Oreochromis niloticus: one gene and its partners. The protein of the gene in region 3 purifies or fractionates together with the protein of the main gene of each other region. This does not show direct contact. Links are inferred from orthologs where the notes say so. Each region holds a gene or a part of one and is shown on either strand. Other genes may lie near its edges.

What was found.
Region 1: the proteins of mzt2b (region 3) and tubgcp2 purify together in Homo sapiens (affinity purification with mass spectrometry; 5 studies listed by BioGRID and IntAct, counting the BioPlex papers as one, with this or other methods). This does not show direct contact. The link is inferred for Oreochromis niloticus from reciprocal best matches to the Homo sapiens genes MZT2B and TUBGCP2.
Region 2: the proteins of mzt2b (region 3) and tubgcp5 purify together in Homo sapiens (affinity purification with mass spectrometry; 3 studies listed by BioGRID and IntAct, counting the BioPlex papers as one, with this or other methods). This does not show direct contact. The link is inferred for Oreochromis niloticus from reciprocal best matches to the Homo sapiens genes MZT2B and TUBGCP5.
Region 4: the proteins of mzt2b (region 3) and tubgcp4 purify together in Homo sapiens (affinity purification with mass spectrometry; 3 studies listed by BioGRID and IntAct, counting the BioPlex papers as one, with this or other methods). This does not show direct contact. The link is inferred for Oreochromis niloticus from reciprocal best matches to the Homo sapiens genes MZT2B and TUBGCP4.

Annotation. Positions count from the first base shown.
Region 1 is NC_031973.2:4,932,674-4,940,381, reverse strand, and holds the start of tubgcp2 (gamma-tubulin complex component 2), read left to right. Parts: upstream 1-4,707; 5' UTR 4,708-4,860; intron 4,861-5,224; 5' UTR 5,225-5,235; coding exon 5,236-5,385; intron 5,386-6,278; coding exon 6,279-6,407; intron 6,408-6,664; coding exon 6,665-6,841; intron 6,842-7,647; coding exon 7,648-7,708. UniProt on the Homo sapiens protein: Component of the gamma-tubulin ring complex (gTuRC) which mediates microtubule nucleation.
Region 2 is NC_031986.2:35,924,586-35,932,443, reverse strand, and holds the start of tubgcp5 (gamma-tubulin complex component 5), read right to left. Parts: upstream 3,003-7,858; coding exon 2,869-3,002; intron 2,795-2,868; coding exon 2,741-2,794; intron 2,423-2,740; coding exon 2,314-2,422; intron 1,744-2,313; coding exon 1,647-1,743; intron 1,154-1,646; coding exon 1,074-1,153; intron 1-1,073. Other genes in the region: chst7 (carbohydrate sulfotransferase 7), read left to right, coding at 4,128-5,378. UniProt on the Homo sapiens protein: Component of the gamma-tubulin ring complex (gTuRC) which mediates microtubule nucleation.
Region 3 is NC_031972.2:12,028,111-12,035,915, forward strand, and holds the start of mzt2b (mitotic-spindle organizing protein 2), read left to right. Parts: upstream 1-4,798; 5' UTR 4,799-4,952; coding exon of another isoform or gene 4,953-4,955; intron 4,956-5,169; 5' UTR 5,170-5,179; coding exon 5,180-5,355; intron 5,356-5,445; coding exon 5,446-5,606; intron 5,607-6,941; coding exon 6,942-7,079; intron 7,080-7,805. UniProt on the Homo sapiens protein: Required for the recruitment and the assembly of the gamma-tubulin ring complex (gTuRC) at the centrosome.
Region 4 is NC_031965.2:1,219,098-1,227,057, forward strand, and holds the start of tubgcp4 (gamma-tubulin complex component 4), read right to left. Parts: upstream 2,946-7,960; coding exon 2,868-2,945; intron 1-2,867. Other genes in the region: cdkn2aip (CDKN2A-interacting protein), read left to right, coding at 2,944-3,103, 3,746-3,995, 4,082-4,206, 5,272-5,861. UniProt on the Homo sapiens protein: Component of the gamma-tubulin ring complex (gTuRC) which mediates microtubule nucleation.

The DNA of each region.
Region 1 (7,708 bases), on a different chromosome or scaffold from region 3:
GCGAAACACACCCCTAAACTTCCAAGCAAGCACCGAGTGTACTACGACGTAATGTGAAATTCACAGAGAAACTCGCGGATTCTTCCACTGACCGCTGCAGCACACCTGCACCAGGGTAAACCTCCGCCTACCCCAGTCCTGCTTTACAGGTGAAAATAGAGCAACAGGACCGCTAGTCTTTGATTTTATTTATTTTCTGCTGTGTTTTACTTGCATCTATTTGAAAGAGTGAGTGTAAACACAAAAAAATATTTTATTTTATGTGCTGGAATGTGCAGAAAATAGGTTTAAATGTTAAACAAATTTCTTCCAGTCAGAGAATGTTGCATATAATTTAATTTTTGCTTGATGCATAAAGTTAAAAGATTAAAACTAATAAAACAAGTTTTAAAAAGAGACTTTTCCATTTGATTACATTTTGTATGATGGATTATGCAGAAAAAGTAGAATTGGGCTGAAAGATCTATCGCTTTATCACCTATTCAGGTTGTAAATCGTGTTTTTAAAAAGTAACTAACTAAGTAACTAAGTAATTAATTACTTTTGAAAATAAGTAATCAGTAAATTAACGGGATTACTTTTTGGGGGAAGTAATCAGTAATTAGTAACTGATTACTTTTTTCAAGTAACTTGACCAACACTGGTAATGAGTAATCTAACTAATTACTATTCCTATCGTTACAACGGCGTTACAGTTACTAACAAGGAAACGCGGTCCGTTACTATTTTTCAACAAACAGACGGTTGAAGCTGTGTTCAGCTTACCGCATCTTATATCAGTTGCACGGAAGTAGCTGTAAGTAATCTGGACGCTACAGCTTTAAGCAGCTGCGCGCTCCCGCAGACGCTAATCACGATCACTGTCTAGCACAACACCTGGAGCTAAGGAGGCAAAACAATCGCATGAGTGCTGCTGTTTGACTGAGGAAGAATAAAGTAGTCATAAGTCAATCACATGACCACTTAAAGACAAAGCAACAAGGTGACAGTTTTTAAATTGTGTCGATAGGCCACGTAAAACCAGAGTCATGATAAACAATATATACGCGGCGTTTTTCCCTCAATAGTTTCGCCACGTTAGCGCTAGCAAGCACTCTCTGCTTATGAGCAAAAAAACAAAACAAAAAAAAGTTTTAGGAGTGACGGTGAGAGAAAGAGAGAGGGAGAGAGGGAGAGAGCAGGAAAAGAGAGAGAGCGAGTTTTGAGATGTGAGATTTGTGACGTTTAGCGTGTTTGGAGTGTGTAGTTAATGTGTTGTCTTGTGTAGTTAGTGTGTAGTGTTGTGGATAGTTTTGTGTTGTGTGTCAGAACAATGAGGCGACTGCTGTCTCCAGGTAGAAACAGGAGTGATACACCTGCTGCTGTCAGACCTGCAGGTATCAGGCTGTGATGTTCTCCTTTATAGTGGACAGAAATGATTTTTTTGGAGTGGCACAAATAATTTGTGTGGCATCTTATTGAAGAACAGCTGATTGTTCTTTAAATAGTTTGAAATGGTTATTTAAAAAAGGGGTAAAAAGTAAATGGATGCAAATAACTTTGTTGTTTGCAAAACTTGTGCATAGGATTTTAAAATTGACAATTAATATTTGCATTTGAAGTTATGAAATATGATTCATTAAACATGTTTATGGTTGTTACAGTAAAAATAACTTTTTCTACTGTGATTTTATGTTTTTTGTCTGATTTTAGATCAATTCTGGTTATACAGTATGACAAAATGAGAACATAACTGTAAATTCAGGCACGTGAGGTTGCGCTAAAAAGAATGATACCAAACAAGGCAAAGTAAATAGTTGTTAAAGGTAAAATGTGGAGAGAAAATCAAGAGTAGTAAAAAAAATGGCCAATTATACCCTGGACGCCAGGGGGTTAAACGTTCTTTGTTTTTGTTTTTTTAAGTAACGCAATAGTTACTTTTCCAAGTAATTAATTACTTTTAGAATATTGTAACTCAGTTACTAACTCAGTTACTTTTTTGAAGAAGTAACTAGTAACTATAATTGAATTACTATTTCAAAGTAACTTGCCCAACACTGGTTAACAAGAAAAACGCATATAAGAAAGTGGTGCGCAAAAGCAGGATAGTGACAGAATTGATGCGCATTATTGATATTTGAAGCATGTGTACCTGCACATGCATGCTTATTAACACACGGGTACTGTGGAATATATTTTTTACTCACCTAAAGTGCTCGTGCTCTCGTCCACTCCCCGCAAAAAAAAAATTAGCAGCTGTGCGGTGTCTGTGGCATCAGTGCTCGGATCGCATGCGATGGAGTAAAAATCAAAAGCACAGCTTTATCAGACAGTTGCAGTTTAATGTTGGCTGACAGTCTTCAGTGCGTGGCACAACTGTAGTTCTGGACATGCTGACATTGTTGAAGTCCTGCACTTTTTTCGGGCACATTATTTCGGTGACTTTAACGAGGCAGCGTTTTATGAGGTCTCCATCTGAAAAAGGCTTGCCATGTCTTGCGATGAGTTGGGCGACCTCATAGCTGCTATTGGAGCCTTTTCCTGGACAATTTGAGCACGAAAAAAATACTGTTGCTGACCCCGCATGATAGCTAGCATTTGCTTTAATTTCTGCTCTCGCTCAGCACCAGTGTAGGATGCATAGGCCTGATGTTTGGTTTCATAATGACGTCGTACATTATACTCTTTCATAACTGCCACAGTTTCAGTGCAGATCAAACAGACACACGTCCCCTTTAATTCTTTGAAGAAATATTCACTCCCCCCGTGTCTGAAATTTTCTGCATTCACTTTCTACCTTCTGCTTCTTTGGTTCTGCCATGTTTGGTAACTTGGGGTAAATTTCTTCTGTGATTGTCCTTTTTGGTAGAGCAACTGCCTTGATTAACAGTAGCTCCCCCTGGTGTTAAAACTAAGAAGTGCAATACACTCAAGCAAAAGTTGAAGTGCGGGCTATTTTCTATTCTATTTATAAAATTACTTGAGGGCCAATTAAAAATGGACCGCGGGCCAACGCCGGACTTTGGACACCCCTGTCCTAAACCGTTTATTCTGCACTGACCCCTTTCCAGGGCTGACTCTAGGATTTGGTGGTCCTAAACAAGATTTTACATGTAGCCCCAAAACTCTTTACGCACAGCACTTTGAGTGCACAGGTAGAATAGAAAAGTGCTATATAAGAACTAGTCCATTTACCATTTAGATCCACCAAATCATGCACACTGCAAAGACCCCAGTACATACCTCTGCAGATTCAGTTATGTCGGAGAAAGCTGTAGAAGCCTGTGGTGCCTCAGTAAAGTCCTCAGCTATGTTCGGGGAGGGAGTAGATGACTCTGAAGTTTTGGATGATGTCAGCAGTCATGTCAGCTGTGGTAGATGTGCTTGTTGCATCAGAAACTCCAAAATACTCCAGTAATGACCCTGAGAATTTTATACATTAGATTATTATTTTTATACACAGGGTGGATGAAATTAAATAGGCATATTACATGAATTAGGGCTATACTTTATACTTTCGTCATGTTTAACGATTAACTGATACTGTGAATGTAAGCGACAGCGATTTACAGCCCGAAAAGTTACATAAATATAAAATAATTCAGAATCATGTGATCTTTGCTTAAAGTGGTGATTATTAAGTGATTATTAAAGGCGACATGCTGCGTTTTTCCTCGAGTTTGATTGAGGAGAAATCATCCTTTCAGGACGGCCAGGTGAACCACGCCCTGACAGCGGCGATGAGGATGGTGATGAAGGAATATCTGATTCTGGTCACACAGCTGGAACACCGCCAGCAACAGAAGCTCTGGTTCTACATTCAGCCCACGATGCCCATGGTGGAGGAAGTCTCTTTGGTCGTGGATCTCCACTTCTGTGTGAAAGACGTACACACGATACCATGATATCTTAGTGAACTAGAGACCCTAATATTTGATGTACTTCCATTAGTTAAAGAATTAAACTGTTAGTGCGTTTATTAAAATAAATTATGTTTTCTGCTGTTTTCACATCATCATAAACAGTAGGTTGATTTATATTAATTTTTCACTAACAGATACTTAAACTAAGGCTAGTTCCTCTTATTTTATTTTAATTAGGTTTTTTTAGTTCACAAATTCTTTTCAATTAGTTTTAATTCTTTATCAGAAGTTTATCTTTATTTGTATTTTAGTTAACTAAAATTGTTTGGGTTCTTTTTTTTTACATCTAATTTTAGTTTTTTGTTTAGTTTTAGTTAACTATAATAACCTTGGTCAGCATCATAGTAGCTGCAGTTAATCTACAAACTTATACATAAGCAGACATCTACCCGGGTTCAAGTACAGTAACAAAAGCAGTATTGTGATTTTAGAGAAAATGCCTGTTTTATGATTGATAGATTTTTGCGAAATTGATTTTTAAAAGTAGTTATTATATTCCTTTTTGTATTACAATTCGACTTTCAGCCCCAGCATTAAGATATTATTACCTATTAACCTAATCTTATTTGAAATATTATTTTTGTGAGATTTTGAAACTTCTGCATTATCAATGTTGATTTTTTTCTCCTTGACAAACATGAATAAATTGCACAATACATTTCATAAGCAATACTTTGCACAAAAGAGCCAAAATGTTACAACTTTTAACTAATATATGTGAAATTATATTTAATTTATTTTTTTATTTGTCAGAATATTCAATATACACTCCGGTTTAAATAAATAAATAAATACATAATTTTCTGGCTATTTTTGTATGGTCAGGCGTCACAAGGTCACTGACCTGTAGGGGTCAGTGTGGCGCCGTCACTTCGCTGCTGGAGAAGAAGAAGAATTTGATAGTAGTGGGCGCGTTTGCTATCTGCCCCGGTAAACGCTGCAGAAAGGCGAGTGCCAGGTAGAGTGATGACTTCAGACTCTAGTTAAACCTGTAACAGGGCTTCATGTTACTGAGTTACGTTGTTATTTGCTTTTATGGCATTTCATGTTTCACTTGGCTCAGAGAGCTACTAGATAGCATCCCCCTGCTGTAGCAGGCTAACTAGCCAGCTAGCGTAAACAACTGTTAGCTCTGCATCACCACTGAAAGACAGGATGTCATAAACATACAGCCGTTAAACCCTCAACTAAGCTTCATCTGATGTTTGTCAGTGTGAGCCGGCAGCTCTGATGTTCATATCCATTGTGACCGCCTGAGCGAAATTCTTTCTCTTTATTTCTGCCCTCTCCTACAAAGTAAAACCTCTTTGTCGTTATGGCAGCTGCGGGAGCCATGAGCGAGTTCAGGATCCACCACGACGTGAACGAACTGCTCAGCCTACTTCATGTGCGAGGCGGCGACGGAGCAGAGGGCTACATAGACCTGCTCCAGAAACACAGGACCCCCTATGTCACCACCACAGTGTCCGCGCACAGTGCCAAGGTGGGCTATACTGTACTACACTGTGCTTCACTGCAGTGCTTTTCATGGCTCATCAGTTGATAATTTAGTTTTTAATTAGCATCTGTCCTCTTATCAGACACGCAGTCACACTACAGCAGACAAAGGCTCTCTCAGAAGGAGTGTTTTTCTGCACTTGGCACCATAGTAATGTTTGTTAACTCCTCCCAGAGACATTAATCTCGCAGTTAACTTTAGCAAAATCCCAAATGCATCATTATGACCGGCTGTCCTTCCAGATTGCACATGTACTAATGAGTACAGGGAGTTTGGTGAGGAGGCAGAAGGAGTACTTTAAGATTCTTATGAATGAAGAAAATGAGGAGAGAGGATGATGGGATAGATGGGGGACAGGTAGGAAATCAGGAAGTGCAGAGGATTAGTAAGGAGTAAGTGAAGGCGACAATGGATGGATCAAGAGTGAAAAGGCTCTTGGTTCAGATGACATACCTGACATACCAATGACAGAGTATTGAAGTTAATCTTGTAGAGTGAAAGGATGCCTGGGGAATGGAACGTATGGCTTCACACCAAGAAAGAGCAGTACAGATGGGATGCTTGTTTTGAGAATGTTGATGGAGAAGTGTAGAGAAGTTCAGAAAGAACTGAACTGTGTGTTTTTGTAGATCTAGAGAAAGTATATGATAAGGTACTAAGACAGGATTTGTGGTAATGCATGAGGAAGTCAGGATTAGTTGAGAAGTCTGTCAGGGATGTAATCCCACCCCCACCTTGAGCCCCTTTTCTTGTTTGCAGTGGCGATCACTTCCCTAACGCTAAAGTTTTATAACTTACTCTTAGTTAAACACCCAATGTTCGCAACAGATATGTTTCTTTGAATATTTTATTCATATTGCATGTTGTGTCACTTTCAGGTCAAGTTAGCAGAGTTTTCTAAAACCCCGGAGGATTTCTTGAGGAAATATGAGGAGCTTAAGTCCAAAAATGTTCGGAACCTCGACCCTTTGGTGTATCTGCTCTCCAAACTCTGTGAGGACAAAGAGGTAATGCCTCATTTACATGCTGCTTTTCATCTGGTTCTTTTTGTCATAGAGTCCAAATATTTCTATACTTCCTGGTCTAAAATCACAATTATTTCCTTATTATTAATGTTGAAAAGTAGTTTAAAAAATGTAATCTACTCCAGACACTGTACACAGCAAAAGTAAGAAATTTGCTGATTTATGTCCCTCCATCAGAGAGTTGGTTGATAAAATACTTGAATCTAATTTTGCATCCCTGTCTTGATATTGTTTTGCAGACCCTCCAGTTTCTGCAGCAGAATGCTAAAGAGAGGTCGGAGTCTTCAGCAAACACCACCTCAACCACGACAACCAGTTACTCTCTGCCTCAAACCAGCACCAAGATGTCCATGCAGGAGCTGGACGAGCTGCGTAAGAAGCTTGGCAATGTAACAGCGAGCTCCAACGCTCCTCTGGTGAGCATCTCTTACTCAGATGTTACTGATCTGAAGGTTAGATTAGCCTGTGAAACTCTACAGGACAGGTTGGAGCTAAAATAAGTTCAGCTAGAAACTTAATTAAGATAGGATGTATTTATTGGTCGATTTTATATATGGAAACAGATTCAGATAGTTTTTGTTCTTTTGGCTCTGTGTGATGTCAAAGAGAGCGCAAAGTTCCAACCACCTGCTGGTCAAATAATTTTTGAGGGGCAGTCACTCAGAGGAAAGTGGGTTTGAAGATGGGGGAGCTAAAACAGTTTGGTTCAAACAGTTAATGAGCTGGGAAGCTGCACAAAGGCCCAGTATAAGATAAAGAAGGCTTATTTTGGACTGTGAGTCATACAAGGCTGCTCTCTGGAGTACTACAATTAAGATGAGTTGGAGGTTCACAGAGATGGTCCTTTTTAAGTTTCAGAATATTTGTTCATAGAGCTATTCAGGTTTCTTTTTCTTAAAGTAGATCAGATCAGAGATGATGAATCTCAGGCTAATAAAGGGGATAAAAAGGATTAAAAAAGCTCTCATTCACATTAGATTCTCATTGTATTTCACATAGGAGTGATTAGACATGCAGATGATTTGTTTTTGGCCACTTGGGCTCAGCAGAAAGATCCTAACATCCTTTTTTCTGAATAAAAAGCTGCCTTGATCAATAGTTTAATCTAAAGGTTAGAAGGGTCAGTCTATTTCTATTGATAAATATTAAATTAAATTTCACTCGGTTTACCATCTGCTGCTTTTAAATCCTGAGTTTCTTTGTTTTTGGAATTCGCCTGCAGCCGGCTGAAGTCACACGGAAGATGCTGAGGGACAAACACAACAAGAAGAACCCCACCCAGC
Region 2 (7,858 bases), on a different chromosome or scaffold from region 3:
GAATGAGTTAAGAATAAAGAATAAGTAAAGATGAATGAAGATGAATAAAGATTTTGTAAAAATGACTACTGGGCCCGGTGCATCTCTGGAGGCCCGAGGAATGAAAAAGAACCGGGGTAAAACTGATTTCCCAACACTGCAAATCCTATAAACTCATATTTTATCCACATTAGAGCACAGAAAACAGTAAATACTCAAAATGAGACATTTTACTGCTTCGTGACGAATCTGAGCTCATGGGGAATTTGGCGACAGAGAGGCGGAGCTTCTCAGAGGTTCACCAACCTGTTTCAGAATCATGGTCCTCACTGTGAACATCTCCTCATCTACACAACATGACATCATCAGCACACTTGGAGGATCTGGAGGAACCTCTGTGCACAGGCTGATGACTGTGACCTTCAGCAGAAACACTGCTCTGTGATAAATCAGTGCACGGCTCAGGAACATTTCCAGAAACCAGCGTCTGCGAGCAGCTCGGCGTGCTGTCCACACATGCAGGTTACAGCTTCGTCATGCTGACACGAAGCCACAAGTGATATCAGGTCAGAATCATCAGCATGGCTTCAGAGAAGAGTCTGGCCCGGCTGCAATCCAGACCTCTGACTGGCCGACAACATCTGGAGCGTTGTGAAAGCAACAACAGGATGAAGCAGAGCCGGAACTGCCGAGCAGCCGGAATCCTCAATCAGACCCGAGCAGCTGCTGTCCTCAGTTCACAGACCATCACAGAGTGATGTCAGAGAGGAAGCACAGATCTGTCCTACTTTACAGACGTGACGCTGCCGTCAGATTCAACACAAGCTCACGTTTGATTCTTTCTTTATCTTTTTTCAGCGTCTGACTTTGTTGGAGCTTTTCTGGCTTTGTACTTGTGGGTCAGAAATTAGTTTTGTTTTTTTGCCGGTGAACACAAGTTAGTGATGATGTTAAAGTCATGTGACTGTGGTGTGGTGCTCATGTTGCAGAACAAACCTTTTTAGAACAGTTTATATTTTCTATAATAATCTAAAAGCTCATGGCAGTCGGGTTTTTGCTCAGAGAATCAGAAACAGGTGGGATCGGTGACTCACAGGTGTGTCTGGGTACGGCCCCATGTCTGTGTCCTCACCCTCCATCAGATATTTAGCCCAGTCAAACTTGTCCTCTGGTTCTGCAGACATAAGACGGAAAGATTAACATAAACTGTGTGATTTTTAGCCTTCAAGGCTAAGTGCTAAGGTTATCTGGAAACAAGTCATTTTTTTAACTTTCTGGGCTTTGACATGAAGTGAACTTATAATCACTGCACTGATGTTGTGCAGTGAAACACGGTGGGCAGGTTTCCTGCCGCTGAAGCTTTCACTGTGACTCTGAAACAGAAACATGGGTGCGACTGTGATGACTTCACTAGAATCTGTTTGTCTGATCCTGGTGTCAAAGCATCATTAGCATCTGTAATGTGGGATTCACTAAAACCAAGCTTTGGTTTAAAAAGTTCTATATTTAATGAGAGAAAAAAATTCTTCCTGCTTTGGAAGAATATGTGAAAAACCTTCTGTTTGCACAGTGTGTGTTTTTAACTCCAACATAAGAAAAGCAGATTTAATGACTTCAGAATGTGTTGACACATTGGTCACAGATAAAGGGAACAATGCGGTTCTCACCGGCCTCCTTTAGTCTGGGTCTCTCTGTAAAGTCTGTGTTTGAGGGGGATCCCGACAGGCAGAGCAGCAGTGACAGTATGCTGTAGTGTGCATCGGTCTGAGGAAACACAGATCACATTTCACTGAGATATTCTCACATCATTGCAGTCACGTTTCAGTGTTTGAGCCCTACACACCAGAAAACTGTGTGTGTAACATGTGATACCAAGCCATTAGGCCTGTGTCATCTGTCAGAAAACAAGCGCACACTTTATGCACACAGAAATACTTTATTAGACTTTATTACTGTGCACTTTTCTGTTGCACTGTTGTGTCTGTATCATTCTGTCTTTGTTTTGGTTTTTTGCACACTTTATGTAGTCTTGTGTTGATTGTCTGATATATGCAGCACCATGGTCTTGGAGGAATGCTGTCTCGCTTCACTGTGTACTGTACCACTACACATGGTGGGAATGATAATAAGGCCACTTGACTTGAAAAGACTAATGTGATTGTTTATTGATGGCAAGTTTACATTTATTACCTTCATCCTTCCAAAATCCCCTCTGACTCTTGTTCACAAGTTTCATACTAGAATATGATGCAGCATGCCAACACTGACTGGTGTCGCACATGAGTATGGATCGTGTGTCCGTCTGTGATAGAGCAGAAAACAGCTGTGCGCTACCTTTTTCCCATCTGTGTTAGGTAAAGGTGAGTTCAGGAATTCTTCAGTCAGTCTCATCCAGCTTTCTGCTTTCTGTAGGTCCGAGTGCACCACGAGCTTCTCGTAGATTCTGGAAAACACGACAGACTGTCACTATACCATAACTTAGCAGGAGACGAAGAGCGGAGGATGACGATGGAGCTGCCAGGCAGGAGGAGAAGAGGAAGAGCTCAGAGGAGGTTGGTGGATGGAGCGAAGGGGGACATGCAGAAGGGTGCAGTGACAGAGGAGGATGCTGGGACAGAAGGACATGCAGAGCCCTGAAGGAGAACATACATTGTTCCTCTTCAAGGTTTTTATGTGGAAAATCCTGAAGTCGCCTTTAAAGGTTTGCCTACATGGGATGTTTAGTTTGCTCAGACTTCACTGTTTTGAAGGAGTCACTCACCCGCTGACACTGCGCTCCACTTTGTGGCTGTCTGTGTCCAGATATCGATGAAACCTGAGGAGACACGAGGCGGATGTTAGTACGCTGCGTGCAGCAGCCTGCTCCCTCACACACCCGTAAAAACTCACTTAAAGTTGGACCAGGCGAATTTGAGCGCCAGCTGGAAGTTCTGGTCCTCCTCATCCTCGATCCCGCTGAGACACCTGATCAGCCGCCTCGTCTCTCTCTCACTCTCCTTTTCGAAGGTGCTCCAGTGCGCCATGTTGACGCTGTCAGCCGGGCTGCAGTCGCCGTGAACGGGCACAGATCGAAGCGGCCTCTCGGTCGGCTTCCAGCCCGCAGTTTCCACCCGCGAACAGGCTAACAGCACCGGGGATGTCTTAAATGCGCCATTATAGACAAACGGCCGTCTCCTCCATTGATTCCTACAGGACCGCGCAGTCTTAGCCCCACCTCCATAACAAACAAATAGGACTGAGCATGCGCAAAAACAATTCAAATTAGTTACGGTTTTTATTTTTTACTGTTTTTAAATTGTTAAACCTCGTTTCTCAGTCGGTACAAAAAAAAGGACAAAAACTGAATATTCCACTTCCTGTGAATCTATGTAGGAAAATGGCGGTAATGCATCCGTATGAGCAGCAGTGGGCGCACGGGCACTAGTAAACAAAAAGCACTGAAATACGCTCAAGGGAAGTGCTTCTAGACAACAAGTCCATGTTTTAGTTCTTGCAGTGACCCAGATAATGCTCGTTTACGGGTCAACGAGAGGACGCGCTATCTTGATATCGCCTGTTTACCAGGTGAGGAGCGCAGTCAAAAGCCCCCGTGGTGATGGTGATGATTCTCTGCAGATGCTCAGGTTATGCTCACATATGTACAATACAAGATTTTACGAAAATAAAAGCCTGTAAATAACTTTTGATTTGACTATATTTATTTCTTTATAATCGAATATTTATACATTCTTAACACACTATGTTTCCAGAAGAAAAATGTTCATAGCAATTTTGTTTTACAGCTATAGACTTGCTAGGGCCCTCTGTGAACCCATGAGCTATGTTATTAGCAGAAAAAAAATATAAGCTAAAAGCTTTTTTTTTATTATAAGCTTAAAGCGCTCACAGCTGGCTGTGACTGCTCTGAAACACTGGGTCTCCCATAATTCAGCGCGCTCAGGGGCGGGTGCTTTTGGTGGACGCCTCTTTCCTTCGATGCTCTCTGTTGTCGGCGTCAACAAGGCCCGCCCCCACACTCCGCACTCTTAACTGACAGAGACGGTGGACGGCAGCAGTCCTGGTGTGAGACGGCCGTGCTGGTATTTCTACCCGGACGAAGCGGCGGGGGGCGTGGCTAACACTCCGTATAGCAGCGACCCTGCGCGGAGATGAAGAGGAGGCTGAACAAGAAGTACCTGCTGCTTATCCTGGCCTACACCGGACTGCTGCTGCTGCTGCCCTACGTGCTTGACTCCCGGGACCGGGCGACCCGGCCGGCGGCGCAGCTCCAGCCCCGCTGCCCGGAGCTGGAGCTGCCGTGGGAGGACGCTGGCGGCCCCAACGGCAGCGAGCCGGCGACCGAGCCCTCCTCCAACCGCAGCCAGCCACGGATCCACGTCTACCTGCACGCCACCTGGAGGACCGGCTCCTCCTTCCTGGGCGAACTGTTCAACCAGCACCCGGACGTGTTCTACCTGTACGAGCCCATGTGGCACATCTGGCAGGCGCTGTACCCCGGGGACGCGCAGAGCCTGCAGGGCGCCGTGCGCGACATGATGAGCGCGCTCTTCCGCTGTGACTTCTCGGTGCTGCGGCTATACGCGGGCGCGCAGAACGTGAGCAGCGCTTTCATCTTCGGCTGGAAGAACAACAAGGTGCTGTGCTCCGAGCCGCTGTGCCGCGCCCACCGGCGCCACGAGGTGGGGCTGGTGAAGGAGGAGCTGTGTGCGCAGTGCCCGCGCAGGGAACTGCGAGAGCTGGAGCGCGAGTGTCGGAAGTACCCGGTGATGGTGATCAAAGGTGTGCGCGTGCTGGACCTGGGCACGCTCGTGCCGCTGATACGGGACCCCAGTGTGAACCTGCGCGTCGTGCAGCTGTTCCGGGACCCGCGCGCCGTGCACAATTCGCGCCTGAAGTCGAAGCACGCTCTGGTGAAGGAGAGCATCCAGGTGCTACGCAGCCGCAGACAGAGCGACAGGTACAAGCGGTTGCTCGCGCCAGCGAACCGTGCGACGCGCGCGGAGAGCTACGTGTCGGGCGCGCTGGAGCTCATCTGTGACGGCTGGCTGCGCGACCTGCTGCTGCAGCTGCGCGCACCGCCCTGGCTGCGCAGCCGCTACCTGCGCCTTCGCTACGAGGACCTGGTGCTTCGGCCGGCCGAGCAGCTACGCAGGCTGTTGCGCTTCGCTGACCTGCCCACTTCCGCCGCGCTCGAGAGCTTTGCGCTCAATATGACACGCGGGCACGGCTACTCTTCCGACAGACCATTCCTCATCTCCTCCCGCGACGCCAAGGAGGCTGTCCACGCCTGGAGGGAGCGGCTGAGCGTGGAGCAGATCAGTCAGGTGGAGGCGTCCTGTGGCGAGGTCATGAGGCAGCTGGGCTACCAGAAGACACATGAGGAGGACACGGCGTCATGACGGAGCCGTGGGCCGAGGTAAGCGGACAAGCGTCTGTTTATGTTGCTGATCTGTGACCTCTGACCTGACCCGCTTGGATCACAATGCAGGTGAAACAGAGACTCAGACTTTCATACATCACAGCCTCCACGCTGATGACATGGCAGGTCACATGACTTAACCCCAGACTGAGCCCTCTCACCACACACATACACTCTAACTGACACACACACACACACACACACACACACTGTACCAGACATAGATACACGCATGCTGTAACAGACACAAACACACACTATAACACACCCTATAAAAAACACACTCTGTAACACACACACAGTGCCAGGAAGAGCAGCCAATAATCTGCTGAGGATTATTAATCTGCTGTAATAATCTGCTGAGGTCATGTAGCTGTTCTTCCTCCAGTTAGATTAAGAAAACAAAGTTAATGGTTTGTTTATCTCAGAGGAGGAAGATGCTCTGACAAGTTAATGACAGGAAGTGACACGAGTGAGGCAGGATGCAGAGGAATTTTATTTCTGACATAAAATGCAAACAAAAGGTAGTAGCAGGTAGTAATGATCATAACTGTGTCACCAAGCAGCACAAAACCAACATCATTCGGATTCAAAATCTAAATGGTAATATTCTATAAAAGCAGATGTTTGCAGGTGGTTTAGCTGTGTCACAGTCGCTGATGGAGCTCTCGCTCCAATGTTGAGCGCAGCTGCGGGTCCTAGTCCTCGTCAGGTGAACAAAACGAGAGAAAAAAATAAACTGAACCAGACTCAAAGAAATGAGAGTCAGGTGACCCGCCACCCGGATGGTTGTGGGTGATGTGAACATGAGAGTCGATGATGAATCTGTGCCTGCGGGTAAAACCCGTGAGTCTGTAACATCACCTGTACGCACTAAAGTTACAGGTTAAAGCCGCGTCAGTGACTGCGATACAATCTACAGCGCTTAACAATGATTAAAACTCAATCAGGACTGCACTCACCTGTTCACAGTGTAGTGTCTAACAGCTGTTCCTGCATCAGGAAACACGCCTACACAGACAGGATGTAACATGGTGACATCATCAGGCTCACAGTAAGCAAAGAGGTCCGAGGCTGCTGGGTGTGTGGGGCAGATTTAAAGATTCAGGTGTGGCTGGAGGCAGATCATCGGGCTGAGAAAGGAAGCAGGTGTTAGAGGAAACTTAAACTTGCCACTGATGGCATGAACCGTGCAGGAGGAAGTTCTCTCGCAGGTTGTCTGCGTGTTAACGGCAGGCAGCGGTGTGCGTGCAGAGCTGATGACGTCGTGTCCTCGGCTCGATGGACGCCACGTTGCGGAAACATTGGAAACTAAAAACACGACCACAAAGGTCAGAGGTCAGACTATTTAAACGAAGCCTGGGTCAAGTCTGTGTGTGTCTCTGTCCGTGCGTGTGTGTGTGTGTGTGTGTGTGTGTGTGTGTGTGTGTGTGTGTGTGTGTGTGTGTGTGTCTGTAGTTCATGTGAACAAACTCGATGTGTGCAGCGTGACTCCTGATTGGTGGGCTGTCAGCCAGCCTCAGATACAGATACCACCTCTGGAGAACCGAAGCGCTGACGTTAGGTGTGTTGTGTAGTTCGTGTAGTGTGGTTGTTGGAGCGTGTGTGATGCTGTGATGTGTTAGTGTGAGTTTGCTGAAGCACAGGTAGGAAAACAAACGCTGCAGAACTCGAGGACTGCGAGGATTCAGAGCAGACGCTCCGTCTGTGCCCAGCAGCCTGATTTGGTGTTTCCGTCACAAAGATATTATGGACGCAGGAGTCAGGGACTTGAGGTTCTGTAGAAGAACTAAAGCGTGTTTCATGTTTCGATCGTGCTGATTGAATTAAACTTTAATTGTGTCGTTGATGGTTCACAGCAGCGTCTTGTGTGAGCGGCTGCACTTTGCTCTGATGGTCAGATAACGATCCCGGTCTGTTAATATGTCCCAGATTTAACTCAGCCTATCTGTAAGATAGCTTTGGCCAAAGTGGCTGAAGAAGGGCAGGAGACATATGCTGTCCAGGGTAAAAAATGATTTATTCACACTCATTGTGACCAAAAATCTTTACAAACATGAAGAAAAACTCAACTCCAAAGTTAAGTTGGTACAAATAAACATAACTGAACTTAAACCAACAAAAATTAATGTCAAGTGCACTCAGCTAAACTGACCTGGTCCTCTCCTCTCGAACACCCGAGTTCTTCTACTTAAAGACTCAAGCTATCCAAACAATAGGCTTCACCTCTTCACCTGGTCCCTAGATGTGACATCAGAAACTAAACAGGAAGCTATAAATACAGGAAGTGAGGCAGCACTTCGTCCTTTTGCTCCTGGAACACAGGTAAGTCAGGTGAGTTAAACCAAGTAAACTAGACAAATTAACAGTTGAAATAGATAAAATGTTAACTTAACAAACTTGTCAGTGTTGATTTAAACCTAGATGTTATATTACATAATGTTTGCAAACTACAGAACA
Region 3 (7,805 bases):
TGTATGCCCGGAGCCATACCGGAACAGTTTTTAGACCGTGGCAGGAGGAATTGTTAAACAATGTTTGATAAGCTGGCACAAAGCAGCAGCTTCTAGGGCTGAAAAATGAAGCAAACTTAGAGCTTCAAAAAATTGACGTAACTCAAATAGCCACTTTTACGGTGGCCCTGAGAGGTCAAACAAGCAACTGGAAAAACGCTGCAAAAGCTCACAAAACAGAATTTCAATAAAACACAATGGAAACAAAAAAAATGCTGCAAAGCTCACACCACAAATCAATCCCTCACATCACTGATGAAACTTCCTCTTCTCTTCATTACATGTGTTTCATTTAAACCCTACACATGTTTTGGTTTCTGTCACTTCTGCAGCTGTTCAGTCACATCATTGTTGCTGTAAAAATATTTTGTTGTGTTTTATTTAATTTCGGTTGTGTTTTGTGTGTTTTTGCAGTTTTTTATTTTCCATTTGCTGGTGTTTCCTTACATCACAGTACATTTGACCTCTCACTGCCACCACACCCTTGAGTCTGCCTACGAAATTGAGTCAATCTGTAGAGAACTTCTATTGGCTACTCCCTTTAGGGGTCGTCACAGCGACGCCATCTGCCACGTCACTCTACCCTAGCACCCTCCTCTGTCACTTTAACCCTGTCGTCTTTCACTACATCTTTGAGTGTTCTCTGTTAACTTCCTCTTTACCCCCAGCAGACAGCTCCATCTTCAACACTTTTTGTCAAGTATATCCACTATCTCCATAGCTTCATTCAAAAATACTGGTGCCCACCAATGCTAAACCTTTAGACACTGAGCAGATGCATCAATGGATGTATAAGTTTGAAAATCATATGCTATTTTCTGAAAGTTGACAACTGACCTTGCTATTAAAGTTAGTGTCACCAGGATTTAAACTCCCAGAGGTTTTCAGCAGATGCAAATACAGTATTGAATGACTTTTAAAATCCTACATCGCCTCACAAACTTGGGTATCCACACCACCTGCAATCAGCTCTCTGCTGGACCTCAATTTTGCTAATTTCAGTCAGAAAACCTCACCTGTTTTACATTATTTTTAATAAACACCTAATATGAACTCCTGTGCAGTTAAGTCCCCTAACAGACCATGTCCTTGTCCAAATATGGTTACTTCTGGCTCCAATATACCTCTGGCCAAAATACTAGAAGCCAAGGCCTTAAAACTAGACTCTGCAACCCAATGGGCACCGTGACTACATTCGTCTTTTATATACTGTATGTGAACGTCAAAGTGAAATACACACAAAGCCAAGATTTCCCAGCAGAACTGTGCATTTAACTAGATGCTCCAAATTATTCACTTCACCTGTCAGTGGTCCAAGTCACACAAAAGTACTAGTTAAATTCAAGAACATGCTATAAATATCCAAAGCACAGAAAGCACAAAACATACCTTGAGTGTTTAGATAATAGTGTTTCCAGAGGGGTCTGAGCTTGTGCTTCCCACCCACATCCCAGATGGTGAATTTTAGGTTCTTATATTCAACCGTCTCCACATTGAAACCTTGGACAAAGATTAAAAACAAGCTTTAATATAGGATAATATTAAAAAAAAAGACTTGCATTATCCTGACTCTAAAGTAACTCTGTGAACCATTAAACTGCAAGTGCATTCACCAATGGTTGGGATGGGCTGCATGAACTCGTCTTGCTTCAGCTTGAAGAGGATGGTGGTTTTTCCAGCGCCATCGAGCCCCAGAGTCACTACGCGGATCTCCATCTTTGGACCAATGTGGACCCTGTTGTCCTGAAAGGACATTTTCAATGTCATTACTACATTTATAGGAAAACCCAAGGCTTTTCCATTTTTTGTGACATACTTGGTTTACAGAAGCAAATTTCTATGAACAGCGACAGTATGTACCTTAGTGAAGGTGACTGGGATGCCAGCATCCAGCTGAATGTGATCTGCCAGCTCAGTGAACTGGTGTTGCTGCTTCTGAAGCGTCTCCAGCAAACAGTTGATCTCCTGCTTTGCCAGAACAACTCTGCAGTCGTCCTAAAGCACATAAGAAGCAACGCACATCACACCTTTAAAGGCATTACACAAGCATTTCCACAAATCACCACAGCTTTGATCTTAACTGGGGTGAGGAAAAAGAAGGAAACGAGTTCCTAAACTCCTCACATCTCCTACCTGCTGAAGTGTTTTCTCACAGTGCAGGCAGGCGGTGGACACCTGAGACAGCAGGATGGTCATATCCTCCTGCTGCTGCCTCAGCCAGATGAGCCTCTCCCTTACATGTGCATCCACCACGCTCAGCGCCATCTCCTCCTGTCGACACAGGGTCTCGTGCAGATCTGCAAAATAAGCTCGGACGCAGGAGCGGGCGCTCTCTGCTGTGCCGGGGACCTGAAGCACACACGGGAAAGATATAAGTGCCAAAACAGAAGCATGATCATTTGTATTTTATTAAGAAGCCCTTTGTCTTACATGTTCAGTGTGTGCCATGCCTACTCCATCCTCAACTATCTGCTCGCCACCTTCTATCTGCTGCACGATGCCCACCAACTTCCTCGAGTACTCGGACACCTCCTCTGTGAAGGTTCGGATACAGTGGGCCATGTCGAGAATGGATGCACGAATCTGATTGGCTTCAGTCTCAAGAACGGCATGCTGTTAGGGAAAATAGGGCAATATATAACCATATCTTTTTCAGTGACTATATCTAATATGGGAACAAGTTTTTCAGCTACCTTATGGCCCTGGTGCTTGCCATACTCCTTACATACACAGCACATGAGGGGCCCGGACTGACAAGCTTCCTCCAGGCAGACAAACTCGATGGCGTGGACCTGATGCTGTGGACACAGGGTCTTCTCATGGGGCTTATCGGCCAGTGGCACCCGCCGGTGTTTGGCCAGTGTTCGAGTGGAGTGGGTGAGCTGAGAGCACTCGCCACACAGGTGGGTGGCACACACGGTACAGTACATGGAGGCTGTGTGGCTCTCATCCTCATCGCAGCGAATTATACACTAGTTTAAAAAAAGATGGATTGAGGATAAAGCATGCAGAAGGTGTGAAGGTGACACATCTCTTATCAGTAAAATCATAGCTGCCTTACTTCTCCCATGCCTTTCAAGGCATCCTCTGCCATTCCTGACTGGTTAGTCGCTCCATTCTGGAGTCTCTCCAAGAGTTCAAGCAGAGCAAAGTTTTTCTTTAGACCCCAAACTCCAGAGTCCCCTAAGCAAATGTGAAGAAAGCAAACTCACTTTGAAAGGCAAATAATGCCAGCACTGTACAGCTCCATGCCCTCAAAAACAACTTTAGCCTCAACTGGATCACAGATTTCTGCAGCGAGAATAATGTTTTCTGTAATAAACACCCAATTTTTCACAACTTCTGGGTAAAAGTCTTTTGTTTTTAAGGGGCTGGCATGAAGTCAAATTAACAGAAACATGCAGATCACAGGATGTTGTTCTAAGGTTCTTAGTTGGTTTTGATAGCTCTTTTTATGCTCTTGTTTTTAGAAGAATGAGCAGTCTCAGGATTCAGCAACTGAATTTCACTTAATGATTTATATAGCAGGTATTACACATATGTGTCCGCTATATATACAATGCTGGAAAGCGTGATGACATCACTCACCCAGCTCAGTGACCTGCCTGTCAAAGGGGGCAGCGGACCGCTCTGCCATGGAGGGGCAACCGGGTTAGACAGTCATGGCACACCGTGTGGCCGCAGAGCAGAAGACGAGGGACCTTGTCCCCCCTGGAGAGAGAAGACATCCTCACAAACACCACATTCCAGCACCTGCAAATAAACATATACCAGTATTAAAGCACCCGATCACTGGGGCGTACAGATGCTTCTGGGTTACTGCAGAGAGATGCTCTATAAGGTCTCAGACAGAACAATAACTAGTCGGATGCAGTCATCTTGACCCGTAGCGTTACAGTTGAATAACACTTCTGATTTCTACTTTCAGTGATCTTTAAGTGAATGCATTGAAAGCAGTACGAAAAGCAGCTTCTGACACGGTCACACTCTGAGCTGGGCTCCCTCACAGAGGAACTGCAGCAGTGAAGCACAGCTAGCACAGACGCCAACTAGCGACAGAAGACCAGCCAGCTCATCTGCTAGCATGATGCAGGCACAAATACCAGCCATGTCAACGTGCACAAGTCTAAAGGTATAAAGCAGCGCTAAAAAAATGACCGTCTTGTGAAACAGTGTTTACACATGACTCTGTTCCGATTTATAAAATAAAGCTCTGACATCCTCCTGCCAACGACGCCAACGCAGCAGCATTCGCCCAAAATCAAAAGCGTCAGAGGCAAGCCTGATGTCGGTCATTCGCTCAACATAACAAAACAGCCAAACACCAGCGATCGACATGTAGTTTGATCCAAGATTGTAGTGACACCATTACAACCTTAACCGTGCTCCCATTAGCTCCTCTCCCGTGTCGGATACAGGGCTCCATCGTCGCTACGGCGCCCTGCTTGTTTATTCCTGCTGCAGCAGCGGCCATTCTTGGACGACAGCGCAGAGACCCGAGCAGGTTTGAGAGGACAATCCCCAGAAGCACTTCCGGTTTCGTTCTTTTTCGCTCTATTAGCATCTCTACTAGTATAGGCTACCGTGCCTATATATTTCCAGTGACTTATGTTCAATTTACGAAAAAAAACCCTGCCCAAATAAATACCTAAGGGCGTTTGAAAATAGCTGAGTAGCGGCAAGATTTCCCCCTGGAAAGACTTTTTAAATTAATATGGGGTTGTAAAACATGGATTTAAAATCTTAAATGAAGACGTGACGGACAACTGAATAATGTAACTTTTAAAAACCCACTTTTTTCTTGTATTTTATTTTTGCGTGCATTACGTATGAAAGGCAAGACAATGACGTATTTTTGGCGCGTCACGCTTGGCTCAAACAGAAGCAACTGAACGTTGGGCATTGCGCTCTTAATGGTAGGTATATTTTAATTTTGAGGAATCAGGCGTTTGCTGTGTTAATCATTTAGGTCTCATTGTGGTTATATTTTTGATAAATTTTGATATTTTTGATTCGGAGAGGAGGTTCAGTTACGCCGTGTTTCGCCGTGGGCGGGCAACAATCGTTTACGCTGTTTTTCTTTTGGTCATTGCATCTTATTTTACCTTCTTATTTAATCTAACCCCTCAGTTCATTAGTGATGTCTCAACAAGCACAACAAACGATTCCCTCCGCCCCTGACTCCCCTGCGCTGGTTGTCACATCTAACGTGCAGAAATATGCAATAAAGAAGAAGAAAGTCCTCAGCGCCGAAGAAATGGAGCTGTTCGAACTTACTCAGGCTGCAGGAATCACTGTGGATCAGGAAGTTTTTAAGTATGTTTAATAATAATCGGCCTTAACTGTGGTTTACATGGAGGAGAAGACCGTGGTTTTATGTCCTCACCCCCTTCCTCCTCCTCACAGAATCATAGTCGACTTGCTGAAGATGAATGTGGCTCCTCAAGCGGTCTTCCAGACTTTGAAGGCAATGTGTGCAGGACAGAGGGTAGCTGAAAGCTGTGGTGTAGACCCTTCAACTGGCACCCACACCACAAGCATGACCACAGCGCACACAGAAGCCAGAGGTTAGTATCTGAAGAATGGGATGTAATGCAACTGAAAGTATATGTATATTTTTCATTTAAATGTTGAATATCTTTCAGCGCACATAGTCTGGCTTCTTTTAACTAAGAAACATTGCAGAAATCAGGCTGGGAAGTTTTAGTCTCCCCATTTATACTGTCTTATCCTAGTCCGTTCATGTTTTCCCCCTCTGTTGGGTCCTCCTAACCCAACATTGGTCAGTCCAGGATGCAGCAGCCACAAACACTAGCTAGGATTTAGATATCCGTCCCCCCAGATCACAACTGACTGAGGAAAAGTGGGCTGTCATTTGTCACCTACAGTTTAACCCTCTGAAAGTCAGGAAAGTTTAGGATGTGTTTTGCTCTTTTTAATCATTATGGGTTCACTTTTTTTTACGGCAATATAAAACCCTGCACCTTTAAGGAAAGCCAAGGCTAGAAGGAGAAAGAACTCATCACTGTCTTTTGTAAAGTGTAGCATAGTTATGCCACAAATCTTTATTATGTTAACATAAATTATGTATGTAGTGTTTTTTTTAAAATCGATATATAAACTGTTATTGTATAAACTATCAAAATTCCCAGATCTCGGTCTAATCAAACATCTGTGAGATATGATAAGTCCGATCCATGGAGTCCCCACCTCACATCTTAAAGGACTTAAAGGATCTGTTGCTAACCTCTTGGTCCCAGATACCAAAGCACACCTCTAGGGCATCTAGTGGAGTCCATGTGGACCAACACAATATTAGGCAGTTGGTGATAATGTTATGCTTGAGTGGTGTATGAGCTGGTGGGAATGGAGAACATCAAAGGTCCAAGGATTAGGGAACATTAGGGAAGAACACTGGTCAGAGGGGGTCCTGAGACCAACCTACTTTCCAATGCAAACAAGCCCAGTTGTTGGTAACAGTAATTTCTGATAACAAAAAGCGTGTGTGTATGTGGCTACAGATTAGATTTTTGATGCAAAGACTCAGAATTTTAAATTTCTTTTTCTAACAATTTATGTTATATTCTTTCTTTGCTCTTCTCTTTGCTTTTTAAGTGTGTGAAATTATCACGTTCCCCCATTTAAGTTCTGTACACGCTGTAGCAGAGGTTCTGTGCCGCACTCTTCCCTTACCTGACCTCACTAACTAAATCCAATCTTCACTTCACCCCACACAGCACGGTTTTCCACATAAAAGGAGGGTATCTGAAGACAGGCATAGTCATGCAAACTCATCTACAAATCGCTCATCCTCACTGTGTTACAGGTTTTTCTGATTTCCTCTCTATCCCGGTCAGTTCTTTCTTTTCTTTCTTTTTTTCTGTGTGTCTTGTTTCCTGAAGAAGAGGACTCTTTGGCTTCTGGAAAGAGCCCTAAACCTGCCGCAGCTCCCCCCTCAGCAGCAGGCCCCAGAGCCACAAGGGTCAACACTAAGATTGTGGTCTACAGCCCCCAAGACACTAGTTCTCCTCACTCTCAAGGTCCCTTTTGCTGCACTCTCTCCTCCACCTTCATCTGCCCACTTGCTTGCCTTTCTCATTAACAAAAGTTGTATTTATGTGCAATTTGATATGGAGCAGGATTTGGGAAAAAAAAAACTGCATGCTGTGCTTTCTTTATATGTGCATGCATGCGATTGTGTGTGGACCGCAAAAATTGAATTTGCCCTTGGATGTTTTCATACTCAAGGAGATTTATTCACTGTGCAGTGGATTTTTTTCCCTTTGTTTTTAAGTGGCTAGAAAGTTAAAAAAGAAACTCTGAAGTACTTTTTTATTGATTCTTTTACACAAGAGTAGCTTGAATTTACAAGTTAAAAAAAAGAAGTCTTTTATGTTGCTGTGTGGTGATTAACCTGTCACCATATGAGTGGCGGCACAAAAGAAGGGGATCTTGACTTGGTTCATACAATATGCACTTATTGAGTTCTATTTTCAGGATTTCACTAAAGACTTACAGATTAATAATGATAGTCAAGTTTATAGTCTTCTACAGTATAAATGGTCAGAAACTTAAACTTGACAAATAAAGCAGAGAAAAGTGTGCGGGCACCAAGCTTTTTATGACTTTATAAATAACGTATTAAACATTTGACTTGCTAAGAACCCTAACCCTAAGCAACCCCAATGTCTTGATTTTGTATTTGTAAATGGTTACATCAGTTTAGTGATATATAATACAGAACTTTCACTTGAAGAAGCCCTTTC
Region 4 (7,960 bases), on a different chromosome or scaffold from region 3:
TAATGATTATCTTTGAAACTTGCCTAATAAATGAATTATACACTGAATATTTCAGCCACAACTCACTACCATATGATTCTCCAAAAGCTGATTCTGTTCATCTGGACGTTTTCAGTGGAAGAAACGTTTCGTCACTCATCCAGGTGACGTCTTCAGTCTCAGCTGACTGCAGGTTTCCCCAATCTTATAAACAGTACATTTGCATAATGACTGAAACCAGCCCACTGAAGGAACAATGGGCTGGGAGGTCACCTTCATCATGATTATGCAAATTCTCATGACCATTGATCAACAACCACTGATCAATTGCCATGAGTACCATTCACCGCTACGTCCAGATGAACAGAATCAACTTTTGGAGATTTACTTACCTGGATGATTGAGCATGTATTAGGACATCTATATATGAAGCTGTAAAACAAAGACTGCTAACATTTTTTCTGATACTTCTATTTAAATATAGTCAAGACATTTGTCTGTATTACACTTTTATAACTGCTTACACCATAAAAGAAAGACAGAGTTATGTCAGCTTAGCTCTGACACACAACAGGCACACTCTCCATCTCACACTTTTATTAGAACACATCTGTTTTCTAAACACACAGAATGAGATGTGTACAAGATGTTCCTTCTTTGCCTTTCATAAAAGACATCAAATCAAATCAAATGGCGCTCCCACACACTGTCCTGCTTACAGCTGGAATATTCATTTGAATAGACCTTTTGAAAAAATACCACACCCATTCACCCACTTGTAAATTTTAACTGCAAAAAGCACCAAACACATGGATACAAAACAGACGAGTTTACATGTAAATAACAGCAATGAAAGACAATGTTGCAGCAAAAGGAAGAAGGGAAGTAAGTAATGTTGGTAATTATTTCAATGAGAGCAGAGCTTAAAAACACAAAAAGCCTTTCTCTGGTTTCTAACATAAAATCAGTATAACACAGATCTCCTTTGGGGATCGTGTTAAGCACCAGGAGGATTGCCAGGATTTATACATCAGGGAAACCAAACAACCTCTGGCGAAGAGGATGGCAGATCATCAGGCCAGGACTATTTACGCCTACAGGCCAGTGATGAGGATGTACACATCCTGGACAGGGAGGAACGCTGGTTTGAGCGCAGAGTCAACAAGGCCATTTACATGAAAAGGGAAAGACCATCTCTGAATCGAGGAGGGGTCTGTGTGTGTGGGCTTCCAGTAAACTTCGATGTTGAGGTTGCCATTCTCTTCAATGTGCACAGCACAGTCCAGGAATGGCAAACAGTTATCCTTTGTGTCTTCCCTGGTGAACTTTATGTTTTTATCCACAGCGTTGATGTGAGCAGTGAAGGATTCCACTTCTTGTGTTTTGATTTTGACCCAGGTGTTGTCCACATATCTTTACCAGTGGCTAGGTGCTCTCCTTTTAAAAGAGCCAAGAGCCTCTTCTTCCACTTCCATGTTCCATGTGACCGTGCCGTGCGCACTGAAGGGAATGGAAACCTCAACACTGAAGTTTACTGGAAGCCCACACACACGGACCAGTACCTCCTCTTTGACTCCCACCACCCTCTGGAACACAAACTTGGAGTAATTAGGACCCTACACCACCGGGCAGAACATGTTCCCTCTAAGCCTGAAGGGAAAAAGAAGGAACACACACATGTAAAGGAAGCACTGAAAACATGCGGTTATCCTAACTGGGCGTTTATCAAGTCAGCAAAGAGGCACAGAAAAGAAGATCAGACACCAGCGAGGGAGGATAAGAAAGACAGACGCAACAACATTGTCATCCAACATGTAGCCGGTGTATCAGAGAAACTCAGGAGAGTTTTCTCCAAGCACAACATCCCAGTTTACCTTAGACCCAGCAACACACTCAGACACAAACTGGTTCATCCCAAAGACAAAACTCCAAAACACAGACTGAACAATGTGGTGTATGCTGTACATTGTAGTGAGGAATGCCCAGACCTCTATACTGGAGAGACCAAACAGCCACTTCACAAGCGCACAACATAGAAGAGCCACCTCCACGGGACAAGACTCAGCAGTCCATCTGCATCTAAAGGTCAAAGGTCACTCTTTCGAGGCGCCAATGTTCACATTTTGGACAGCGAGGACAGATGATTTATGTCCACTGTGAGCGACCATCTTTGAACAGAGGCGGTGGTTTACGACACCAACTGTCTGCCATCTATAATCCAGTTTTGAGATCCTTCCCACACGCCTTAACGCCCACTCACATCCTGGGCCATCTGACCTCAGGAAATCACATGATAGGGTGGGGCCAGGTTTCACAATGAGCTCACCCGAAACCCTGGCTGATTGGGACCCACCTTGGCTCATGTGATTAGGTAGAGGATCATCAGGGGGTCCTTTTGTCCCTCTTTGGAGGGGTTACTCCCAAAGAGCTTAAATCTGGGACTCTCCACCATTTGACCCTAGAACTGAAGAAGCTTCTCTACTGAGAGGTGAAACGTCTTCAAGCAACTTAAAGTTTAAGTCCAGACGCTTTTCTATCCAAGATCCTTAGACTACGATGACCTGAATGACTGAGAACCTTCACAGACATGCCTAAATGCACAGATTTGCAGTAATGCGATTGGCTGATACTTGCGTAAACGAACAGGGGTACCTAATAAAAAGGCAGGTGAGTGACGTTTCATCTTGCAGTATTCAAACCTGCCAATTGTCAGTAAGCTATCCTAGCAAAAATGCATATCTTTAATATAGTGCTACCAAAGCTAATAATTTAGCTTATGCATAATTGAATTGTAATAAATTGTCAAGCTTTGACTTGTAACCACATGCATATTAGCTAACATCTGAGTGAAGTTATCGTATCAGAGAACTGCAGTGTTTCCGTGTTACCTGTAAACCTGTTCGTTTGTTCCATGTAAAAATCGTCCCCGGGTATCCGCTCAGCGCCAGTAAGAGCTCGTGAATCATGTCAATGAAACTTAAAGTGTCTGAAATTCAAATTGTAGCGGAGAGATTCCCATTCAGCCACCAAAACAAACCGCCGCCCGAGCCGTCGCAGATTTGTTACGTGAGCGCGAAAAGCATCACGGGAAGAGTGCTGCAGGAGCCGGAGACATCGCTCCACGGTAGTGGAAGAGTCAGGCTTGCGATGTTATTTGTTTTTAAAATCGACAAGAGCCTTTAGCAACTCCACGCGTGCTTCGTTTGGGTTTCAATTAGCTCTGCGAGATGCGTAAACACAAGCCAGCTCATGGGAATTGTAGTTTTTTTCCTGTGCACTAAGATATCGTCGCGAGTCTGGCGTCATCATTCGGTCATGTAACTAGCTGAAGCACATCGCAACGGAGAGCGCTTGGTATGTCGTAGTTACTGTATAAAATACTAACTTTATATTTCCCGTGCAAGCGACGGCAATCCCGTTACTCTCGTTTATGTCTGTGTTTTTGCTGTTAGCGTGTCTTCTGCTGTAGCTAATGTTATTCCACTAGCCGTTTGTCCTAACGTTAGTTCGTGGAGTCGGTTTGTTGGGTCCACTCTGGTATATTTACTAGTTGACACAACAAACGTTAGGCTGCTCTCAGGCAAGTCAGCAGGAAAACACCAGCGGTTTGAAACTAGTAGGGCCACCGCCATTTTACGTCGTCTAACGCAGACCTGTTGAGTTTAAGTGGCATGATTCACGCTAGCACTGCTAACCGCTAACAAATAAATAAGCTGCTGCTAGTTTTCTGTTGTTCTTCTAACCGTAAAACCGTGTCTGAGTGCAGGGATGGCGGGGGAGAGTGGCGGAGAGGACGTGGTTGCAGAGTACCTGGGCCAGAATCCGCAGCTGGCCCAATGGGTGGAAACATTCAGAAGCTACTGTGAGAGCAACAAGCAGTGGGTCGCTCGGAGAGAGTTCATCCTTAGGAACATGGAGGCTTTCCCGACAGTGAAGCCAGGAGTCTCCAGCAGCAGCCTGGACAGGCTGCTCTCTTTGTCCATGGTCTGGGCTAATCACGTTTTCCTGGGCTGCAGGTAGGACACGCTGATGGAGCAGAATGACAAGCTGTGGATGCTCTCCGCTATAATAAGAGTTCATTGTTACCTTTTAAATCCCTCAGCTATCCACAGGCTGTAATGGACAAGATCAAAGAGATGGGAGAAGGGATAAAAGTCCAAGATCCTCCTGTTCACAAAACAACAAAAGATGAATTCACAGCCAGAGGAAAGAGGAGCGCATCAGCTGGTAAGCAGTGCACATGTTTAACATTTCATCTTCACAGGTTACATTTGGGAAAACTACCTGTTATTTAATGGGTCCAGGTTTTTCTGCTGCTGCTTGATAACGACAGAAAATCATAATAATTGATTTTTGAGTGTTTGGCCTGTAGTCTCATACTTCTACCTTCTCTGGAATATTCAGGGTGATATATACATAGGAAACCAATGGTGACAGGTGACATTAACACACCTGTACTGATGATATCATCAAAAACAGCCCGCAAAGATAATATAATACAGCCATGTTGATTTTCCTATAAATTTCATTTAAGGACCGTTTAAGTGCCGGCTGTAGTTGAAATCATTTCCATTGTGTATATCATTTAAAAAGCCCAGTTAACAATGCTTAAAATGCTATTGTGCATTGTGATTGCATTGGATTCAAATACTATTAGTGACTTCCCACTCTGAATTTTCCACTGGAACATCGCCTCAGGTCAGATTTCCAACTCAGAAAGTCGGAGCAGCCCGACCAAGCCTGACTCAACAATCCATGATAGCGGCTGTGAATGCAAACAGCAGTAAATCTGTAATACTTTAAATCTGGGCTGTGACTGTTGTGTGTTTGTGACTAAGCCACACACAGAGCAGGATCTGTCACGAACGGGCTGCAGCGTTTTTAAGTGCAAAAAACAAACACTGCTTGCTAATAATGCACAAACCTCGTCAAGCTTGCTAAGAAGCAAAAGAGATCCTGTCACTCCGACGTGTCAACACGGACATATATGAACACACAGAGTAATATTTGCATTAGTTTCATCCTCCATGATAACAGGTTAAGGTTACCTTGGATGGCTTTTACAAGTGATGTGACTTCAATCTAAGAATAGATTTGACAGTTTTCTGTAGCTCGTTACTGACCAACAAATCCATTTCACTGCTGTTCTCTGTTGCTGTGAGGTTTCAGTGTAATTACCTACGCACAGGGTTTTTTCCCTTTCACACACGCACACCTGAGGCTCTGTTTCCTCATTAAATACAGATTCCTGTGCAGTCAACGTTTTCCTGCCTGCTGTGTCATCTTTTGCAGAGCTTGAGGATGACAGCTGCGTGAAAAGAGCCAAGGCTGGGCCTAATGAGCTCGACAGCAGACCTGCGCTCAGGACGGCGGCGCGGCCTGCGAGTCAGAAGCTGGGACCACCTCCACAGGCTCCAGCAGAGCACCAGCCCTTCTTCAACCGCCTGTACAAGGCTGTGGCGTGGAAACTGGTGTCAGCCGGGGGCTTTGGGCCCAACTTGGACCATTTTGAAATCCTTCGCAGCTGCGTGGAGTCGTGCAAGCAAACCCTGACGTGCGTGTTTGTGCCGCTGAAGGACATCACGGGCCTCCCCGCGGGCCGCACACAGAAGGAAGGCCACGTGTGTGAAATTCGCTGTCAGACTGTTTTCATGGGCACAGGATACGGGCGCGACGAGGCCGCTGCCAGAGCCATGGCTTCCAAAGAAGCCCTTAAAGTATTTCAGGGGCGGAAAGTCACTGTAAAGATCTGTCGGCGGAGGTACAAAGGGAAAGACGTGGATGATCTGATGCTGTTGGACGAACAGCCCCGCAGTCAGGGCTTTCCTCCTGCTCTCAGCTACCCTTTTCAGGACGAGCAGCTGGAAGACAGTTCATCGTAGAAGCTTTGACTGGGTGGAGCTACTGAAGGCGTTCACGCCTGTGTCGGGACCAGACTGTTATGCAGCTGACCATCGTAGCTAAGCCCAGAGAATATTAGGTAACTTGGAGCATTAACTGTCATGGTGCATTTCACACAATACCTTCATTTCTTAATAATCTTACGCGTGCACGATCACCAGAACAATAAAACTAGTCCCAAGTCTGCAAAAAAAACAAACCCACTCCACTGCTCCTGATATTTTCAGCCATTATCTGAGTTGTAAAGACAGCAAACAGCGAACCAAAGTGTGTGGAGTGAGCGCCTGTGGCACTGGTTAAAAGTCCAGCAGCCACCAATGAGCAAAACTGCAATATTACACTGTTTGTGACTGTTTATGACAAAAGCAGTTTGGCCAGTAGTTCGTTCCCCCTTCAGTTCATTCCTGTGTCACAGCTTTTTATCTGCTGATTTCATGAGGGTAACACAGGAGTACATGAGGTTTTATTTGATTGGTAGGAGTTGGGTTTTGGTTTTTTAGGTTCCAACTCACAACGTACAAGCAAAGTGAGTCACACGGACTCAACAATTACAGCTTCAATAACCTGGCAGGGTAACGATTCTTTTCTAAACATGATGTACTGTTCCTTACTGAGAATATTAAAAAAACATCAGACTGTGGCGCACCAGTCTGCATTTAGTTTAGTTGTTTCTTGTTTCAGTGATAAATGTCAGTCTTTTCCTTTAATCGTACTCGTGAAGGGTTGCAATGACATTGCTATTCTGTCGTGAGCTGCACTTAAAGAGGGGGGGCCTCTTACGCTCATTCCCATCTCCATATTTAGATTCTGTAACATAATTCACAGTCATTCTTATTTGTTTCAGCCCCTCCCCCTGTCTGAAACCAGCTGATTCAGCTCCTTTCCCTCTCAGCCAGCTGTATTCTAATTGGCTGCCCTTCATGAACAGCAGGATGATCAGTGTGCTGTGTGTCTGACAGAGCCACGCCTGCTCTCGCTGATGTCACACAGAGCCAAGAGGAGAAAAACGGGCAGCTTTTGGCTCACACGGTGTTACTTGCACATTCCCTGGTTTTTCTAAACACTGGTTTTATTGTTAATATGAGTGTCGCCCACTGTAACAGTATATGTGATATCATATTAGGAGAGCAGGGCTGCACCTTATTGAATTGATCACATTATTCTTAATTTTTCGATTAGCTTGGAGAAACAGTGCGTTGATTATGTCTTAGTTCAGACAAACTAAATCTGAAATCCTGGTTACAGTCATGGTTACTGGTTTCCAGTTCTTCATGGAACTGGCATCCCAGTGATTCAAAAACATGTCCACACGGACTTAACTGAAGATTGTTTTTTTTATTATTCAGACAGAAACTGAGGGAGACTCTGCCAACTACAGTACCTGTTTGACTGTAAATGCTACTGCTTTTCTTTGATATTATTATAAATAAGTTGATGTTAAAAAAGAGAAAGTTTGAAGTATTTGGTTGTTAATATGAAGAATGTTTGTTTGGACGCGTCGTGTGTGTTTCTGATGTGTTTGAGGGTAAAGTGCTGCCGTAACGTGTTTGTTTCTTTCTTGCAGTCTCGGTTGAAATTGAACAGGGTTGCGTTAAAGTGTGAGTATCTATACTGTTCCATTGTACGTTTACGCCAGTGCTCCTGTTTCTATATATTTTTAAATAAACCAAATTGAAACTAAGCTAAGTGTGTTTTGTGTGAGCACCAGAGCTCGAGGGGTGTTAGTTACGGTCTCTTAAACCTAATGATCTCATTTCACTTTGAGGATTTCTGAACAGTACAGAAATCTGGACTCCATGAGCTGACATGGGTCACGTATTTCCTCTCGTTACCGTTAATTAGCTCAAGTTCATCCACAGCTGCACTTCCTGACTCAGTGGCTCATTAGAAATCGTAAAACGATCACGGCTGAGGAGCCGTCAGCGATTTGAGTGACATTCATGCTCGACCTCCTCCCACAGCTGAAATTAACTTATTGTTTATATAAGCAGGCTTCGGGCCTCTTCGACACAGCTGAGTGGACTGCATTCACATGACTGGGCTCTTATTTATTTTCCACTGGACACAGGCCACGATCCGC